3 linked regions of the Macaca fascicularis genome follow. The protein of the gene in region 3 interacts with the protein of the main gene of each other region in a biochemical or structural test. Links are inferred from orthologs where the notes say so. Each region holds a gene or a part of one and is shown on either strand. Other genes may lie near its edges.

Evidence for each region.
Region 1: the proteins of TAL1 (region 3) and LMO2 form a complex in vitro, tested with the Homo sapiens proteins (2 studies listed by BioGRID). The link is inferred for Macaca fascicularis from reciprocal best matches to the Homo sapiens genes TAL1 and LMO2.
Region 2: the proteins of TAL1 (region 3) and SIN3A form a complex in vitro, tested with the Homo sapiens proteins (2 studies listed by BioGRID). The link is inferred for Macaca fascicularis from reciprocal best matches to the Homo sapiens genes TAL1 and SIN3A.

Annotation. Positions count from the first base shown.
Region 1 is NC_088388.1:31,712,012-31,718,845, reverse strand, and holds part of LMO2 (rhombotin-2), read right to left. Parts: intron 2,997-6,834; coding exon 2,781-2,996; intron 1-2,780. UniProt on the Homo sapiens protein: Acts with TAL1/SCL to regulate red blood cell development. Also acts with LDB1 to maintain erythroid precursors in an immature state.
Region 2 is NC_088381.1:52,595,443-52,602,276, forward strand, and holds part of SIN3A (paired amphipathic helix protein Sin3a), read right to left. Parts: intron 3,446-6,834; coding exon 3,238-3,445; intron 1-3,237. UniProt on the Homo sapiens protein: Acts as a transcriptional repressor. Corepressor for REST. Interacts with MXI1 to repress MYC responsive genes and antagonize MYC oncogenic activities. Also interacts with MXD1-MAX heterodimers to repress transcription by tethering SIN3A to DNA.
Region 3 is NC_088375.1:187,566,762-187,573,695, forward strand, and holds the start of TAL1 (T-cell acute lymphocytic leukemia protein 1), read left to right. Parts: upstream 1-2,793; 5' UTR 2,794-2,852; intron 2,853-3,113; exon of another isoform or gene 3,114-4,774; intron 4,775-5,664; 5' UTR 5,665-5,820; intron 5,821-6,934. UniProt on the Homo sapiens protein: Implicated in the genesis of hemopoietic malignancies. It may play an important role in hemopoietic differentiation. Serves as a positive regulator of erythroid differentiation.

The DNA.
Region 1 (6,834 bases), on a different chromosome or scaffold from region 3:
CAGCATCACCTCTAACTTACCAGGTGACCTGAGCAAACGGAGTCCCCTGCACAGGCTTCCGTGACTTAAGCCGTAAAGCAAGGGAACTGAAAGAGAAGGCCCTTGTAGCCCTTTCCAGCTCTGGGATTCTGAGATTCTAATATTAGCAAAAAATAAGCCAGGAATTGACACCTTACTTGAACATTAACCTCTGGCACCAAGAATTGGTATCCTAGGCTGGATATGCCAGAAGTGGCCCCTGAGGCAAGGATTTATGTGCCAGTGATTTATGAATGATGCATTCTCAGGAAAAACCTGGAAGGCAGCAGGGGAGGCTGGAGGGAAGGGGAGGAGGCCAAGCCAAGTTGTAACCTCAGGCAAAGTCCCTCAGAGGGGAGGGACTCTGGAATATAAGTCATGCCTGGCTTCAGGCAAGGCTGCAGGGCTTGGTACTCCTACCATGTCTGTCACTGGTTAAGGTCCGTTGGGGGTGTAGCGGGGGCAGGCATACTTCAGGCTCTAACAGATTCAGGTGCTGGCTGTTAAAAGCAAAACCACTGCCATCACCACCACCCCACCACTCCCAGCACACTAGAATTAGTGAAAAGGGATCCAAGGAGCTCTGGCTCAGCACAGACATGAACAGTTGCTCCCAGGTTCCCAACAACACAGCAGAGTTGAGGTTCCGCATGGGGGTCTCATGAATATTTGAAGCGAAATGTCGGAAAAGAACTGTAACAGGCAACTCAGCCACTGGAAATCCTCATGGGGACGAGTTATCCTAGGGGTGAATTAGAATTCAACCCCATTACAGTCACTCTTCCAACTTGCCTGTTCAAAGATCCTGCCAGATATACCAAGAACGCAAGTAAACAAGATCTTGGCTAAAGGACCATCCCTGAAGCAAAAGACAATTTTTCTCCTCTGTCAAGAGGTGTCCCACCTTAAGCCCTCTGCTGCCCGTTTTAATAACAATAATATAAATGTTAAAGGATGGCTGGAAATGCCTGCACTAACGCAGAGTTAATTAACATGTTGCCTAGGAATGTGGCAGGGAGAAGAATTATTTCATGTCACCAAGACACAAGTTAATTAACATTGGGTTCTCCCAGACTGTTTTTTTTTTTTTCCTTCCTCTCCTTTTTGAAAATGGAAAGGATTAACAAGCCCAGGCAGCAATGGTTTTATTCCTGAATGTCATATAAAACGGTAGAGATAGGGAGAAGCCGGGGCTCTTCTGACCTTACTCAATCTGCACTTCATTTAATAAGATTCAAATGATTTGACAGGGATGGAGTCAAGGGTCCGATGGGATTCATTTACCCGTCTGCCTTCTCACTGACTTGGCAAAGTGGGAGTGAGCAAAACCAGGTCTGTATTTATCCCAGTTCTATTTTTTGGGACTTAAAAAAAGGAAAACTGACCAAAATTATAAGCATGATCATTGCAAAACCCTACTTATTTTCTCGGAACCACCATATCTGCAAGGACTGCAAGGACTTTATCTGGGAATTCAAGAAGGACAAAAAGCTTCTTCCATCAGTCTTTAGGTAAAGCCTCCTTCACTGTGAAACTGCCTGCAGTTTTTCGGTTTGGTTTTGTTTCTGTAACGTCAAATGCTCCGAGGGCAGGTTCGAGGGGAAAAGCTGGCCCAGCAGCCAAGGGCGCTGAGGTCTCAACAAGCTTCCATGGGTTGGATGGTCTGGGTGCATCAGGGAAGCATGCCTCACAGACCCTCTGCTCCAGGAAGACGGAGAAATCCTGACAGCTACACAGTTGAGCAGATCTGACAGTAGAGGGCACAGAGAGTTACCTCCACAGCAGCTCCTCGGAAACTAGAAACGCTAGTACATTCTAGGCAAAGGCATTCACAGAGTGCTGGAAAATTCGGATGGCCAACGGAAGCATGGGAGATGTCCTCAGCTCCTGTCTTACTTGGCGTGGTCGAGTTCCTATTTTACCCTTCCATTCTTCCATCCCTTTGCTCATTAGATTGGAAAATAATGATTACGTCATAAGGATAAGTTATAAGAGCAGCTAACATCTATTTGATCCATACCGAGTCAAGTAGTTTATCTGCATTATTCCATCAAATCCTCCCCACATCCTTAGAGGTAGGTGCTATTATGATCCCCATTTTACAGATGAGGAAATCGAGTCTTAGGAAGGTTAAGTAACTTTCCCAAGGCCACTAGGAAGCAACGGTGTTGGGACTCGAACCTCCAACTGCCTGCAGGGCCTTTGCCTTCTGTTCTTCAAAGACTGCCTTCCTGCTATGAGTCAATGCTTGGAGCTCCACATGCTTTCTATTGTTAAATTTCTCATCATATAATACTGGAGTCATACAAAAGAATATTTATAACATATATATATATGTGTGTGTGTGTGTGTGTGTGTGTTCTGAAGCATTCAAATGAGGTCCTCAGAGCCCACCTCCTAAGTTAGAAACACTCCCAGTTCCTCTGATCCTCCGTGCGTACTCCTCCTCAACCCCATCCCCTGGCTTCTCCCGCTCCCCAAGGGAACAACTCTGAATTTTGGGGTTACAATTCTCTTGCCTTTAAAGATATTAGTATTTTACCACATAGGAACGTAACCCTGAAAATATGCTTCTCAAACAGGAAGAAATGCCCTCTGCTTCTCGGCAGGGGAGCTGAGACTCAGTTTCTGCAGCCTGACCTCTTTCTATAGGTGGTGTCTAAGCCTGGAACAGGGTCGGGGGCAACATGCACAGACTGCAGATGTCCAAGGACCCCCCAGCCTCCCTTCCGAGGGCCCCAGTGGAGTGCCGCGGAGAGTACCTGAGATAGTCTCTCCGGCAGAGCTTCCGGCCCAGTTTGTAGTAGAGGCGCCGCCCCACCTCGCCCAGCCGGCAGCCACAGAGGTCGCAGCTCAGGCAGTCCTCGTGCCAGTACTGGTCGATGGCCTTCAGGAAGTAGCGGTCCCCGATATTCTGCTGGCAGCCGCCGCATGTCAGCAGGGACGGGGGGATCTGCAGCACCTCATCCACTGGTTCCCTGGAGAGAAGGCCAAGCATCAGGGACAGCCTCACCAGGGTGAGACCAGCACCGGGGGTCCCAGATCATTTTGGGCCAGACAGGGTACCTCACCTGACTGCCTTTTGGTGACCTAAGGGAGAAGGGACAGGACAACACATCCCTTGGCCAGATTGCAGAGTCCCAACCAACCTTGGGTTAAGACGGGAGAGAGCCAGACCTTACTCCCTAGATCTCTAAGAAGTCAACACAAGGCACCAAGAGGCATCAAAGGCAACTGCAGGTGGCACTGTGCCCCTGGCCCATGCCCAGCACTACCTGGGTACCTCTGGTCTCCTTCTGCTTTTTCCCTCTCTCCCCGCTGACTATCCCTCTCTGTCTTCACAGATTTCCCTCATTTTCCTCCTCCTATACCCTGAACCCAGGGGCACTGCCTAACCTCAGAGGCGGCACCCTGGACTAAAAGAGTCGCTCACCACCAGGGCAGCGGACGACCCAGAGAGCTAAGAATCTGCAAATCCCCTGTTGAATAAAGTGCCATCCTCCCTCCAGCCCTTCCCACCCGCACAAAAGCAGAGGTGAGGAAGAAAGAAGAATGAGACCAAAAATTATTTTAGGCTGCTTTCTCTTTCCAAAATAAAAATTCCATCAGGATATAATAGGAATTCTCCTAGTTTTACTCTTTTACAGAAATTCCATTTTCCATTCTTCCTACTGAAGGAATACTTGGAGGAAAATCCCATATTGTAAGGCCATTGTTACACTTATGAAGAACATCAAATAGGCCTTTCTTTCCTTACCTGAACATTTTTATAACAGTAAAGCTGATTCGGATAAAGTTGATTTGAGGAAGAAAATGAAGTGGGGGCAATGATTATTTCAAAGAGAGTGGAAGGCAATTAAACAGTCATTGACATCTCAATCCAGCAATTGTTAATAGGCTGTGACACGCGTTCTTTCATTAATGTGCCATGCATAGTATCTCTTGTTCACTTTGCTTCACTGGAATCTGAGTACTTTTTTAACTTTTAAAAATAAATAATTTTGCTAAAAGAAAATAAACGAGTGGAAGGAATTATTCTAGTGTCCCCCAAATGGGACACAGGAAACACTTAATACTTGTTGATTTGTAATAATTAGCAAGTGTTCTCTGGAACCTTAAACACAAATCTATTTCTTAAAAATCTATTATGTTTCAAAAACCAGACCTTCTTCCAACTGTAAAATTCCCAAAGGGAGTTTCCTCCTGGGTGCCCTGCAGGTATAAATCCACGTCTCCTATTTCTAACTAGTATTAACTTACCAGGTGACCTTGTGTCCTAATTGGTCTGAGCCCACAAAGCCCAGCAGTCATTATACTTGGGGACAGGAGGCTAGGTGGCTCAATGTCTATAACACTCTTGACAACTTCAGAGGATTCTGTCATGTGAAGAATGAAGCCTTTCTTGTGAATATTTAGGAGTGTTAAAGCCATGCCCACACTTTCTAGATACAGTGTAATAGCACTTCATGAGATTATCATCTTTGGAACAAGAAAATGTGAAGTTCAAGTTAGTTTATCTGGGAAAAAAAAAAAATGGCCAGGCACAGTGGCTCACGTTTGTAATCCCAGCACTTTGGGAGGCCAAGGCAGGAGGATCACTTGAGCCCAGGAGTTTGAGGCCAGCCCGGGCAACATGGCAAAATCCTGTCTCTACAAAAAATATAAAAAATTGCCCAGGCTTGGTGGCATGAGCCTGTAGTCCCAGCTACCCAGGAGGCTGAGGTGGGAGGATCACCTCAGTACAGGAAGTTGAGGCTGCAGTGAGCACTGCACTCTAGCCTAGACAACACAGTGAGACCCTAGCTCAAAAAAATCAAAACTATAGTTTCTTTTTTTTTTTTTTTTTTTTGAGACAGAGTCTTGCTACAAATTTGTAGCCCAGGCTGGAGTGCAGTGGCACGATCTCGGCTCACTGCAAGCTCCACCTCCTGGGTTCGCGCCATTCTCCTGCCTCAGCCTCCCAAGTAGCTGGGATTACAGGCATCCGCCACCAGGCCCAGCTAATTTTTTGTATTTTTAGTAGAGACAGGGTTTCATTCACTGAAGCCTTGCTTTCTTTCCTTTGTTTCTACAGATTGTATATAAGGACTGCCATTTTCCCTTCTAATAAGTAATACCCTAGCGTTTTTATGTGTATCAACTCGGAATTGCATCTCTTCTCTTTCCACAGCCCATGGTCTTACTCTGGGCTTTCAAAACCACTCATGGGACCTCGACAGACATTGGATGTCCCGATGCAGATGCTGCCAAAGGACTGTGAAAGAGGATAATTTGCCCTTAGCTGGTGCAAAACTGCCTGGAATTCAAATGAACTGCTCTTGTTACTCACAGGGGAGGCAGTGGGGGCCACCAGTGGCATAGCAAGGGAATCTCTGTGTTCATGAATTCTGGCTGGCTTTCTGTCCAAATGTTTCATTTGCATATAGCTAGGCAAGTCTCCATCTGTAATTTGGAGATGCTGATTGTAATGACCCAAGTCGGCTTTGAGGAAGTACACAATGAAGCATCTAGTAGGATACTGGACAACAGGAGGAACGTAAAGTAAAAGAGTTATGGTGATGGCCTGAGATGAGATGGAGAAGTAAAGTATAAGATATTGGCTCTGTCTTTCTATAATTAATTGATAATATCACATTATACTTAGTGGGCAATCCAAGACAATGAATGAGGTTGATTCACCCTCAAATTAATATTTTATATTCTCCCAGACCCTTATCTTGAATATTACACCTGAGTATCACTTCAGCCTGGATTTCTGGGATAATCATAACAATTTCTAAGGGGGTGGAGAATGTGCTGCTGCAATTTCTCAACTAGCTTGTCCCTCTTTGATCAGAAACTATCTTCGCTGGGCAAATAGTGAAGTGAAGGAAGGAGCTGGTGAGCCTCCAGCAGTAGATACCTGCTGTGTTAGGAAGTTAGGATGTTTCAGTTTTCTAACCTCAGTGAAAAAGCACAAACTTTGAAAGACGCAAACTTCCTTCAGGGAAATGAAACCTTCAGATTTACCTTCTATTGAAAGGATTAGTGACTAAATTCTGCTGATCAAAAAGGCATGAGGCACCAATTCATCCAATTCACTCCCTTATTGTGTTACTATGATCTTGCCCAGTCTCTGAAACTCAAAGCTCAGTTGTAATTTTAAGTTTATTTTTAAAAAAGTGATCAAACCACCCTTTAAACCCATTGTTGACATAAACATACTTTTAAAAAGAAATGTTATTTTTCTCCTGAGAATTTGTTGAAGGAAGTGGGGGTTTTTGCTACAACAAACCTAGCTCATTACAGAACTGGTGTCTTAACCTTCAAGACGGAATAGTGATGTTTATATTCTCATTGGATGGTGGTACTTCCTGTGTTTTATGAGAACATGCTGAGCTTTTATGCTGCTAACTGAGGGTAAAACCCAGGTAAATAAACACCATAGAAAGCCGAAATTGAAGGGTGTATGTGTGTGTGTGTGCGGTATTTCAAGCAGGAAAGCACAATTCTTTTAAACCAGGAAAAGAAAAAACAAAACAAATGTCTCTTAAAAGCACAAATGGACAAGTCATTAACCAGCTCCTTTGGTCTTGTGTAACAAATCCCTTCAAAGGATTAGAGGGGGACTTCAAAGGAATAAAAATTCTCAAAACCAGACAGCTAATGACTCTTAAAAGGGCATTTGCGTTGACAGGAAAATGATATCTTAAACACCCCTTGCTACCCATGTTAACACTAAAGAATTGGTGAGAGATAGAAAAACATTCCAAACCAGTACGAGGCTCAGAAAACAGATGCGGTCAATGCTCATTAGAGCTCTGGTTCCCTGACCCC
Region 2 (6,834 bases), on a different chromosome or scaffold from region 3:
CATTAGTATAACCTAGGGAATGTGTTAAAAAGACACATTTCCGACGAGGCGCAGTGACTCACGCCTGTAATCCTAGTACTCTGGGAGGCCGAGGCAGGCAGTTCGCTTGAGCTCAGGAGTTTGAGACCAGCCTGGGCAACATGACAAAACCCCATCTCTACAAAAATACAAAACTTAATCGGGCATGGTGATACAATCCTGTAGTCCCAGCTACTCGGTAGGCTGAAGTGGGAGGACCGCTTGAGCTGGGAGGTGGAGGTTGCAGCGAGCTGAGATCGTACCACCGCTCCCCAGCCTGGATGGCAGAGCCAAACCCTGTCTCCAAAAACAAACATACAAAAACCCCAAAACCCCACATTTCCTTGGTTTTACCAATCTGCTCTAATGTATCCTGGGTAGGACCCAGTGAGCCACTGATCACTTCTATCAGCATGGAGATCCACTTCTAAGCCAGATAGTGCAAAGCAAAGGGCTTAAAACCCACTCTCCCTCCATTGTGTTACCCCACCCTGGCAAGCAGAGTCCAGGCTTGCCAGATCTTCTGCAGGGGGTTCTGTTCCCACCAACACACCCAGTAAAAATTTATTGGTGACCACATGCAAGGATACTAGAAGAGATACAAAAACAAAACTGCTGTTGCCCAGTGTCCCAAATAATGTGAATCAGAGACAGGCAGACACACACACATAGCAAAAAAAATTTGTCAGGCGTGGTGGTGCACACCTGTAATCCCAGCTACTCGAAAGGCTGAGGCAAGAGAATCTCTTGAACCCGGGAGACAGAGGATGCAGTGAGCTGAGATCATGCCACTGCGCTTCCCTCCACGCCGTGAGAGAAGTACAGCAGACTCTTGAATAACACGGCTTTGAATGGCACAGGGCCACTGATAGGCAAGTTTTCTTCCACCTCTGCCAACCCCGAGACAGCAAAACCAACCCCTCCCCTTCCTCCTCCCTCTTCAGCCTACTCAACAAGATGAGAATGAGGACCCTTTATGATGAGCCACATCCACTTAATGAAGAGTAAATATATTTTCTCTTGCATATGACTTAACATTTTCTTTTCTCTAACTTCCTTTATTTTAAGAATATACAGTATAGGCTGGGCATAGTGGCTCACACCTGTAATCCCAGCACTTTAGGAGGCTGAAACAGATGGGTTGTTTGAACCCCTGAAGACCAGCCCTGGGCAATGTAAGGAGACCCCGTGTCTATTTCCATTAAAAAAAAAAAAAAAAAAAAAAACAAGAAAAAAGGAATGCAGTATATATAATACATACAACATACAAAGTATGTCTATCAACTGTTTATCAGTAAGCCTTCCAGTCAACAGTAGACTATCAGTAGTTCCATTCCGGGGGAGTCAAAAATTATACATAGATTTGACTGTGCAGGGGCCAGTGCCCCAAACCCCGTGTCATTCGAGGGATAATCATACATTAAACTGTGTGCTCAACATCTCCCACTTGAAAGTTTTGTAGTCCTTTCAAACTTAAAACGCACTTCGTCTGTCTCCTAAACCTCATAACCCTTTTCTATTAACAGGTGAGCCCCTAAAATATCCACTTAAGCAAAACAAACCAAAAAACCCCAAAACGAATTAGGCACCATCCTTGATGTCCTCCTTTTGCTTACCCCCACATTTGATCCAATACCATCTCTTGTCAATTAAATATCTAAATTATATCTACATCCAGGCGTGGTAGCCTGTAGTCCCAGTACTTTGGGAGGCTGAGGTGGGTGGGTCACTTGAGGTCAGGGGTTCGAGACCAGCCTGGCCAACATGGTGAAACCCCATCTCTACTAAAAATACAAAAAATCAGCCAGGCGTGGTGGCGCGTGCCTGTAATCTCAGCTGCTCAGTAGGCTGAGACAGGAGAATCGCTTGAACCCAGGAGGCAGAGGTTGCAGTGAGCCGAGATTGGGTCACTGCACTCCAGCTTGGGCGACAAGAGTGAAACTCTGTCTCAAAAATAAATAAACACATAAAATCTACAATGTAATTCTTGCAATTCCACTGCCACCCTAGTAGTCTGGGTGGTCCCCAAATCTCATTTGGACAAGGGCACCCTTGAGTGGTCTCTGCTCTTCCAACTTTATACATACCCATCTCCACTCTCCTCATAGCACTCCAAGCTATCTTTGTCAAATGTCCCAATGCATCTCAAACAAACTCCAAACCATGGCCTATTAGACAAAGTAATGTGGCCTCTGCCTACCCTTCTAACTTCATGCAACCTTGAGCCACAACGGTGTCTGTAGTTTCTTGAATATGCCATGTTCTTTCCTCCCAGCCTTGTACTTGCTGTTTTGTCTAGAAAACACCCATCCTCTACTCTTCACCAGGCTAATTCCTTGTCATTATTCAGGCCTCAAGCATCACCTCCTTTGAGAAGCCTCCTCCAGTGAAAGCAGGGCCTGTATGCTAGTTACCCTTGATCACTGCACCTGATTTGTTTCCCTGGTAGTGCATATCATCACATTACTTCATCTGATCAACTTCATGGCTGTAGTCCCAGGGCCTGGCATAACACCCTGTACACAGCTGCAGCAGGAAGGTTTCACAATTGAGATAGAATGTAAAAACAGGTAGAATTCATACAAGCAAACGATCAGATACTACTTGAGATGTAAATACTGGGAGTAAATTCACTAAAAAGGTGCCACCAGGTATTTATATGCTCTTACGGGCTGAAGTGTGTTCTCCCTAAAATTCTTATGTTGGCTGGGTGTGGTGGCTCGTGCCTGTAAAGCTAGCACTTTGGGAGGCTGTGTCAGGCAAGACTGTCTCAAACAAACAAAAAATCAAATATTGAAGTCCTGGCCCACAGTACTTCCAAATGTGACCTTATCTGGAGGCAGACATACACACAGGTAGAAACACCATATGAAGATAAAGGCAGGGATCTACAAGCCCAGGAATGCCAAAGATTGCCAGCAAAGAACCAGAAGCTAAGAGAGGCCTAGAACAGATTGTCCCTCACAGTCCTCAAAAGGAACCAACACTGCTGACACCTGACTTTGGACTTCTAGTCTCCAGAACTTTTGTCGTTTAAGCCACACTCTGTGGTACTCTGTCACAGCATCCTTAGCAAACCAACATACCTACTTCCTCAGCTAAGTCTCAGCTCCAAGAACAGGTTTGCATAAACAAAGAGAAACAATCAGAAGACTCTGGGCCTCCCCTGCTCCTAGCTAGGGTGGCAGATGTGTACAGAAATTAGTTACTGGTTCTCACCTGATGAGCCCGGAGCAGGGCAGTCCTCCGATACATATAGTCCTCTGATTTGATCACATACACCATCTTGTAGGAATTCAGCTTGAATCTACACTCCAGCTTATCCAGACTATCCACATTCTCCATGGTCTTCTTACTGTTTCCTTCCTTCCCTTCCTTTTCCTGCTGCTCTCGACCACGCTGACATTTCCGGATCCGCCGTAGATTCCTATGGCAGAAAAGCCCTGAAAGATGAGAGCTCATCCAGACACAGATTCCCGTGACTTCCCCCAAGTGAGTTTTCTTTATTATATGCTTACATAGTACTCATCCCAATTTGTTAAATACATACAAAAATGTTCCGTTGTTTCACTGCAAAAAAAATTTCAACTGCAAAGGTACACAGAATAAAAAGTAGAAATCTTCACCCATCCCCTACTTGCCTTAGCAGATGCAGCCAGTTAAGAGTTTTAATGAGAAACTTCTGGGCCTCCGTCTGTAAATTTACACATGTAATTACCAGCTATAATTCTGCTTTGGGATTTGTTTCTAAGACAAAATAGGATCATACTATATATTCTGTCCTCAACTTTTCACTTACTGTCATGAGTATTTTTTCATTTCATGACAGATTTGTCTTATTCTCTTTAACTGCTGCAGAAAAATGTACCCCAATTTACCATTCCTTAACAGTTTATTTCAACTGAGGTTCCTCATCTGAACCACATAACAAAAAATTATTTGAATGCCTATTTTTAAAAATTCCCCCAGATGATATAAACTAGTGCCACTCTACATAGACAAGAAAGAAGATAATTCACATGAATGGATGCCCTGAGGGGTGGGAGGCTTGCTAAATCTCCTCAACATCCAGTGAAGAAAGGTTATCAGCTAGACAATTATACTGTTTCTCATAACTTGCTATTAAAAACACTGCTTCAGGTTGGCCGTTGTGGCTCATGCCTATAATCCCAGCACGTTGGGAGGCAGGTGGATTGCTTGAGCTCAGGAGTTTGAGACTAGCCTGGGCGACATGGCAAAAACCCCTTCTCTACAAAAAATAAAAAAATTAGGCAGGTGTGGTGATGTGTGCCTAGAGTCTCAGCAACTTGAGAGGTTAAGGTGGGAAGATCGCTTGAGCCCAGAAGGTGGAGGTTGCAGTGAGCCAAGATCCCACCACTGTACTATAGCCTGGGAGACAGAGTCAGATACTGTCTCAAAAAAAAAAAAAAAAAAAAAACCCCAAAATATTGCTCTAGTGAGTATCTTTGTATACATGTATTTCTGTAGACAGCAGTTCTTTGTCCAAAGGGTCCCAAGACCCTTTTAGGAGATCTGTGAGATCAAAACTATTTTCATAATAATACTAAAATATTATTTCCCTTTTTTGCTGTGTTGACATCTGCACTGGCACCATAAACGTAATGGTGAATAAAAATGGTGGTGGCGCCAAATTGTATTTGCAATATCGAACAAATTGTTACCAAATTCCAATATCAATCTATATACATCACTGAGCTTTTCATACAGTTGTCAAACTCTATTGGTTTATTTTGTACCATGAATGAATCCTTTTACTTCCACGATTTTGTAACCTCATGCAATTGCAATTCAAGTCTTTGAACTTCACACTGACTGCACAATGACATTAAGTGAAAAAAAGCCAGTTTCACTTAAGAAGGTTTCTGATGGGCCAGTCACAGTGGCTCACACTTATAATCCCAGCACTCTGGGAGGCTGAGGCAGGCAGACCACTTGAGGTCAGGAGTTTGAGACCAGTCTGGCCAATTGGGGGAAACCCCATCTCTAATAAAAGCACAAAAATTAGCCAGGCATGGTAGCGTGCACCTGTAATCCCAGCTACTTGAGAGGGTGACTCAGGAGAATCACTTGAACCTGGCTGGTGGAGGTTGCAGTAAGCCAATATCATGCCACCACACTCTAGCTTGGGCAACAGTGAGACTCTGCCTCAAAAAAAAAACCAATGTTTCTGATGAAGGAGTAACATTTTTTATTAAATCCCAACCCCTCAGTTTACATATTTTTAACATGCTGTGTGATAAAATGGGAACTACATATAAAGCACTTTTGTGTGCTAACGTACAACGGTATTTTTTTTTTTGAGACGGAGTCTCGCTCTGTCGCCCAGGCTGGAGTGCAGTGGTCGGATCTCAGTTCACTGCAAGCTCCGCCTCCCGGGTTTATGCCATTCTCCTGCCTCAGCCTCCCGAGCAGCTGGGATTACAGGCGCCCGCCACCTCGCCCGGCTAGTGTTTTTGTATTTTTTAGTAGAGACGGGGTTTCACCGGGTTAGCCAGGATGGTCTCGATCTCCTGACCTTGTGATCCACCCGTCTCGGCCTCCCAAAGTGCTGGGATTACAGGCTTGAGCCACTGCGCCCGGCCAGTACAATGGTATTATTAAAGAAAAGTACTTGAGCAATTGCTTGAGTTGTAAGTGGATCACCATTTTTACCTGAAAGAACAACTGACTAAATATAGTCAATCTCAGCCAAGTATTTGGCAGATGTTTTCTCAAAAATGAACAAGGGAGCCTATCACTTCAAGGAAAATAATGTTGCCAATAATAAGATTAGAATTTTCAAGTAAAACTATGAATTGTGGTGAACTGGTATTAGCCACCCTGAGCTTGACAGCTTCCCAATACTTAAAGATGTGTTTGATGACCTAGTGATAGTGATATTAATCAATGTGATTTTTTTTGGAGACACTGTAAAATATATCAACATTTAGTAGGTCTGTACAACTTAGTGAGCTAATGTTTCCAAATAGCCAATTGCATAGTTACAAAATCATAGAGGAAAAAAAGATTCCTTCATGATACACATGAATGAATGTGAGAGCTCAGTGATGGATAAATTGATATTGGAATTTGGTAACACATGTGAGAGACACATGATGGATTTTGACAACTGTATGAAAAGCCCACTGATATATAAATTGATATTGCTACTAACCTTTAAGAAACTATTGGCTGGGCACGGTGGCTCACGCCTGTAATCCCAGCACTTTGGGAGGCCGAGACAGGCAGATCACGAGGTCAGGAGATTGAGACCATCCTGGCTAACATGGTGAAACCCCGTCTCTACTAAAAATACAAAAAATTAGCCGAGCATGGTGGCAGGTGCCTGCAGTCCCAGCTACTCGGGAGGCTGAGGCAGGAGAATGGCGTGAACCTGGGAGGCGGAATTTGCAGTGAGCCAAGAAAGCGCCACTGCACTCCAGTCCGGGCGACAGAGCGAGACTCCATCTCAAATTAAAAAAAAAAAAAAAAAAAAAAAAAAGAAAGAAACTATCACTGGGGTCAGGTGCGCTGGCTCACACCTGTAATCACAGCACTTTGGGAGGCTGAGGTGGATCACCTGAGGTCAGGAGTTCAGGACCAGCCAAACCAACATGGAGAAACTCCATCTCTACTAAAAAAACAAAAACAGCTGGGCGTGGTGGCACATGCCTGTAATCCCAGCTACTTGGGAAGATGAGGCAGGAGAATTGCTTAAACCCGGAAGGCAGGGGTTGCAGTGAGCCAAGATCGCCACTGCACTCCAGCCTGGGCAACAAGAAAGAAACTCCGAAAACTAGCCAGGCGAGGTGGCGG
Region 3 (6,934 bases):
ACTGCAGGCATGCGCCACCACACCCAGCTAATATTTGTATTTTTAGTGGAGACAGGGTTTCACCATGTTGGCTGGGATGGTCTCGATCTCTTGACCTTGTGACCCGCCTGCCTGGGCCTCCCAAAGTGCTGGGATTACAGGCGTGAGCCACCATGCCTGGCCCAAATTCAATTCTTATAAACCCAGTTTTATACCCCAAATACATGTCATCTTCACTTGCCTCTTGTTATCTCTTCTGCCAACACAGTGGTCCAAGCTCTAATCCCCTTCCCCTAACCACTGCACTGGCTCCAGAACTGGCCTCCCAAAGTCTTTCCCCCTCCACACTTCAGCCAAAGAACTTTCTAGAAATGCAAATCTTATTCTATACAGGGTACCACCCCCACCTTCAAACCAAACGAACAAAAAAATGCCAAAAAATCCTGTAACTTGTCCACAAGCATGCTCCAGCCATACTGGACACTTTTCTATTTCTTTTCATGAACCTACCGCCCTTCTGTTCTAGCCCTTGGTCCAGCTGTTTCCTCAGCCCACCTGGAAGGTTCTGGATACTCACCCTTCTTCGCACCCCCAAATTTCACTCTTCGATCGCAGTCCAGGCCTCATTTTCTCAGAGAAGCAGTCCCCACCTGGGCTCTTCTAGATGGGAATGGCTAGCCTGTTTTCACAGTGGCTCAGAGACATGAAATCACTTGTCCAAGGGTCCCACAGCCCCGGAATGGCAGAGTTGTGTTTCAGACTCAGAATTATATGACTCTCATTTTCTATTAAGTGGTGGAGCCAAGCAAAAGCAAAGGCCTTATGGCAGGGAGGAACTAGAGTTTTTCTTAGGACGTGGGATTCTGTGAGAGTTATCTGTATCCCCATGACAGCCTGACCCTTCAGAGAGCACAGGAGGAACAGAGGGGACAGGCGGCACTGATTTAACTGTATCTTCTCAGGGAACATCCTGATGACCAAGAAGAAGTTAGATCCCAGACTGGGGCCATGCTCTCAGCTCAATCTTTGACTGGGACTCAGTTTGTTACCAGAGAAGGGGCTTTTCCCCAGTTCTCAGGCTCCAAAAAAAGCTCAAAAGCAGAGATACTAGAAGGACAAATCAGCCTGGCATGGAGGGTAGAGTTGTGGACTGGGAATTGGACACCAAAGTTTGGGTGCTGGCTTTTCCTTTGGGTTACTGTAAGTTTTGGCTAAGTCACATCTCTCTGTGTCTTAATTTCTTTCTCTATGATGGTAACCAGAACTCCCATGCAAGTGCATATGCTGTTTTCCTGGGCTACGGACTTTCCGTACATTATTACCCTCACCACCACCTTTTAAAGGTCATATAAGTTAGTTCTCACAATTTTGTGACGTCGACATTATCTCCCCATTTTACAAATGAGAAAACTGAGGTTCAGAGATCAGTGGCTAAAATTCGAACATGTGTTCTTTCCACTCCACCATGAAAGAATGAACCCAGAGACCCTCCGTGGGCTGAGCGCATCATCCAGCTGGCACTGAACTCAGATTCCTACCCCACAGTAAAGACCTTGGTCCCCGCAATGAGTTGATCCCAGGTCCCTGTCCCTGGCTAGGTTTTGACTGCCCCTTTTCATCAACTGAGTTGCAGAGAAGACTCCGTGCCAAATTTTCTTCTAAGGCAGACTCCATCAAGCACTAGCTATGTATCATTCGAAAAGTTACTTGACTTTATGTGCCTCAGTTTTCTCTTCTGTAAATTGAGGATCCAACTTCTCTGGATTGTTTATGAAGAGCAGATTAGTTAGTATTTGTAAAATGCCTAGAATAGTGTTTCAGTCGCTAGACTAAACTTTTTTTTTTTTTTTTTGAGACGGAGTCTCGCTCTGTTGCCCAGGCTAGAGTGCAGTGGCGGGATCTCAGCTCACTACAAGCTCCGCCTCCCGGGTTTATGCCATTCTCCTGCCTCAGCCTCCCAAGCAGCTGGGACTACAGGCTCCCGCCACCTCGCCCGGCTAGTTTTTTTTTTTGTATTTTTTAGTAGAGACGGGGTTTCACCGTGTTAGCCAGGATGGTCTCGATCTCTTGACCTCGTGATCCGCCCGTCTCGGCCTCCCAAAGTGCTGGGATTACAGGCTTGAGCCACCGCGCCCGGCCGACTTTTTTTTTTTTTTTTTTTTTTTTAACACCATGTGGGGAGCAGTGTTCCTGGGCTCTGGGCTCAGCCTGAAACCTAGCAGAATGGGCATTTTAATATCCCTGTTGACAGGAGTTCTGCCAGGCCGCCGTAGAGCCCATGAATTTGAGTTACCGGCTCTATTTTAGAAGGGGGTGAAGAGGTAGGGAAGGGCTGGGGAGTTTTCTGGGATAGGGAGGCTGCCCATTGAAATCTGGGTGTCTGGGACACTGGAGGAAGAATAAGAAAGAAGCGCTGGGAGGTGACGATTTTGATATCATGGTGGTCTTCAGAGGTAGGGACAGAGTGTTGGGGTGAGAGTCGCTTAAGAAAGGTGTCTGGAAGGTCAAGGGACTGAGGTTGTGGGGAGCTGGGGTTCCTGAGAGGTCTTGGGATCCGAGATGGGGGCTGGATCTGCTGGGTCCTAGACAGCGCGTCCAAATTAAAATGAATCATTTGGCCCATAATGGCCGAGGCGCTTATCGGGGGCGGGCGGACCCGCGGCACTGCCTTATCTCCGCAGCGCACACGGCCCCGGCGCGCCTCGGCCCATGCTAACGAGGCCTGGAACGTGAGTGGGATTAGAGCGCGTCGGTGGAGGGGCCGGGCGGGCGCGGCGCGGGCGGGGGAGCGGGGGCCGCGGGAGGGGCCGGGCCGCCGCCGCTCAGGACCGGGCCTCAAAATGGCCACACACCTACCCCCGTAGCGGAAAGACGTGAGCATTCTGGCCTTTTTCTAGGGGAAAAGCAACCCGAGGCCTCCCACCGAATTCCTCATCAATTTCCTCCTCTTTTTCCCCACGTCCGCAAAAGAGGTCTTCGCTCCCTTTCCCTCGGTTCCTTTCGATGGGGGGGGGGGGGGCATTTTCCACGGACGCCACCGCCCGGGCTGCCGCCGCCCCTCCCGCCTCGGAGACTCTCTTCCTTCCTTCCCCCTTTTCCTTACGCAATATACAGAAATGCGCGAGGCGGTGGTTGGTTTTCATTTCTTCTTCGTGGTTGTGTGCATGCGGTGGGATTGTGAGAGTGCGTTCATGAGAGCTGTGGGCGGCGTTGGCTGCTTCTGAGTGTGGTCTTCTTGGCGACAGGCTGTGTGTCCCAGTGTGGTGTGCCTGCGCGGTTGGGGTGTGTAGATGTGGACCCTTTGAGGCCCTTCTGCGTTTTCTTCGTTGCGTACGATTGTGCTCCGTTGGCGTTCTCAGCAGGGATCTGGTTCTGCGGGGGGGGGTGTGTGGCCTCTGCGACTGTGTTTGGGTGGTGTCTTCGTTATGTCGGGCGAGTGTGATTCCGACTGTGTTGGATTGTGTGTCCGTGAGCCGATACGTTTAACCGATTTCGTTGTGTCCTGTTGGGCAGTGTGCGGGGCTGACCAAGTCGGCTTCTGGAGCAGTGCTGAGTGGTGCTTGTTTGTTGCCCTTCTGTGGGGCTGGACCCTGTGTGGTCCTGTCCGCACTGACTTGTGTGCCTGTGTGCCTGTGTCCTTTAGAGGTGCGTTTGCAAATCGCTGGGGGCGGGAGTGGGGGGAGGGCGAGCGAGAGATCGAGGCGCTGGTGGGGGCGGCGGCATGGGGGCGGGGAGCGGGATTTCACATTTTATTCCAAATTATGATGTATTCGGGAGCCAGTTGTTGGCTTGGATGGGCGGACAGAGCCGGGCCGGCGGCTGCTCTGCCCAGAGGCCCGCCTGTGCCTCGGTGTTTGAGGGGTTCGTTGGTGAATGGGAGGATCCTCCAGGCTTGAAGCTGAGCAGCGCTCACCGAGGCCGGCGCCTTCGAGCCGGTCGCTGCGGGCTTCGGTTCCCGCTGCACTCCGGCTTCGTCCATTTCTGGTCAGTTTCGTGGGTGCGGCCGCCGGGGTCCGAGGGAGAGGCCCCGAAAGGACAATGGGCATATTAACCAGGCCTCGCGCCTCGGGTGGGGACATTCGGGATCACCTCCAGGGAAGATTTTCCCGCCCCCTCTTCGGGTGAGCGACGTTGCCGCTTGGGTCTGGTACCCGTGGCATCCGAGACCGAGGCCGAATCCGGGCTCTTGAGGGGACCGGGTTAGTGGGGCCCTAGCTCGGGTTGAAAGGATTTTGTTTAGTCAGTTATTATAATTGCCAATGCCATCGCCATCACAATCGTCATCATTAACATCCTATTTTAATTAAAATAATCATCGTAGAGCGCAGCAGTTTGTCCCTTTTGGCTCCTTTGGCGGGAGAACAAAGCAGCGGATTTTTTCCCCGCTACTGCCGTTTTCTAAGTTGCTGGGTTTGAGGTAGGAAGAGAAAATGGAGAGAGGCACGGACACAGAGACTTGGTCATAAGGCAAACATTAACCCCCAGCGAACACGCAAACATTAACCCCCCGATAACACGCCGGGAATGGATGGATTCCCCTCTGCTTTCCTCCCCTCCCCTCTTTTGGATTAGAAGCGGAGAAAGAAAATCTTCCGCATTGTATTGCAATCCAGGGAAGAATTATTCCTATATTTCCACCAAAGCCGCGGCAAACAGAAGGAGTGCTTCGCAGTTAATCCAAGACTTCGATGTGTGATCATAAGCCTGACGATTTAGGCAAAACAAATTAAACAAAATCCACCAGGAAAAAATAAAAGCAAGCTAAATCCTGCTACATCCTTGAAAGTAGTATCGGGTTTGTTTTTGCGTTCCTTTCCTTTCACCTTGTTTATTGCTGTAAGACATCATTAGAATTCTCCCTTACTCTGTCTAAACCCTGAAAAATCGAAAATCGTTTTGTAGGGGTGGTGGAGGGGAAGATGGGGGACTTTTCCCCTTTCTTCTTTCCCTCTTTGTTGGTCTTTATTTCCTTTTCTTTTTCTGTCTCTCTCTTCCTCTCTCTTTCTTTTTTCTTTCTCTCAGTCAGTAGGCGGACGAGAAAGGACCTGAACATATCAGATATCTCTCCCCAAACCCCCTTCCCAACTCCATTTCTGTAGGAAAGTACAACCCCTGGAATTGGGTTCTGGTTTCGCTTTGGGCTGGAGGTGGGTGGATGCGCATCAGGGAGAGAATGAGGTGGGGTGGACTCCAAGGTTCTGTCCCACCGACCAGAGTCTGAGGACTATTCGCCTTTCCCAACACAGACCTCTGCCCATCCAGGCCCGGGACTACCCCTTCCCGGTGTAGCGGCAGTCGGAGATCTGGCTGCGGAGGCAACCGGGTAGACACCTCCCTGCTTAGAAAACAAACACTGAACCAGACCGATCCCAGTTGGAGGGTTCGAAAATGTTCCAGACAGCCTGTCGGGAGGGGTTGCTGTTGTTGTTGTTGGACTAAATAGCTATTCCGGATTGGTCGTGTATAGGGTTTTTTAAGGCGGGTGGGGGGAGGAGGGGGTAGAGGGAAGGCTCCAAACACCTGCAGGTTGGGGGCGGAAAGCTGTTTGCGATTCCCTGGACTGGTTGGTCGGGGACAGGAGGTAATTCCCAGCTATTGACCCCCATTTCTCTCTCTCCCTCCCTCTTGCCCTGCCTCTTTCTCTCCACCCCTATCTTTCCTGGAAACTCGCTTTGGGCGCGGCAGATCGCCCAGGACTACACCGCAGCGTAACTGCAGGCCTCTCAGCGCAAAAGGGGGAAAGCAAAGACCCGGGTCTGCATCCTCTACCTCGGCTTCCGCCCCTCTCCGGCGGAGTGGAGATCCTATTCAGAGGGGCCGGTCTCTCTAAATATGCCCCAGGTGAGTTTTCAGGGGAATGGTGCCGGTGGAAACAGTGTCCAGGAAGGCCTCGGGTTCCGGCCTGGGGTGAGGAAGGCTCAGGACAGAGGAGAGCCCAGTCTCAGATTGGGGGTGGGGGGAGGGGAGGACCAGCCAGAGCTTGGAATCAGGATCTGATTGCTGCTAGCTGCTTCTGTGGCCTCCAGCGGCTCTTTCCCTTTTCCGCCCTGGGTAAAACCAGTTATTTGGACTTAGTCGTCCAGGCCGTTCCCGTTGGTCCCGGTTCTGTGGACGTTTTGCAAGGCCGGTAACTTTGGGGCGGCTGTATCCGGGTGGTGCAGACTCTGCCTGGAGCTCCCGCAGGAAGAAGGCGACAGCCTTCCTGGCTAGTGCAGTCCCAGCTCGAGTGGGCCCTGACCCCGGGCCTGAGGCCTAGGGTGGGGCTGCAGGAACACCCCTCTACTCTGGTAGAGGCGAGGATGGCGGTGCTGTTCCCTGGTGGGTTTGGTACTTGTGCAGGCTTGGGGCTTCTCCAGGGTGTTGTGCTGGTGTGGGCCCAGAAGAGAGACCAGAGGCTGGGTCTAAGGGCTGAGACTGTTTTCATCTAAGAAATTCTCTGTATGGGAGATTGGGTCTGCTTGAGACCTGTCCCTAGGAAGAATCTCCTGGGGTCTTCTGTCTTGTTCTGGCACAGGTGGAAATATTCTGGCTGTCTGGCAACTGCAGATGAGGATTTTGCATTGGGGGCTATAAGCAGGGTCTCCGCAGTACAAAGAGAGAGGAGCTGTAGTTGCCAAATAGTCTAGAACTCTAAAATCTCCCTCCTCCTTCATTCTCCCCAAATAAAAACAAATAAAATCACTCAGGCGTTCCTTTCTGTAATCAAACCAAGTGATGCAGCTTAGTCGCCAACAACCGTCAGTGTGTGTGAGTGGCTTCTTTGGGGCATAGACCTCTGGCTGGTGATCCTGGTTGCAGAAGAACAGGCAGGATTTTCCTAAAATGTGGGGAGAAGCCGGGAGAGGTCCTCCACAGACCCTGGGAGCCAATCATATATTTCTCACAAGGAGCCTTGGAGATGGGATATTTATAGGCGTCTGGAGAAGACATTTGGGGCCAGGGTCAATTCATCTGG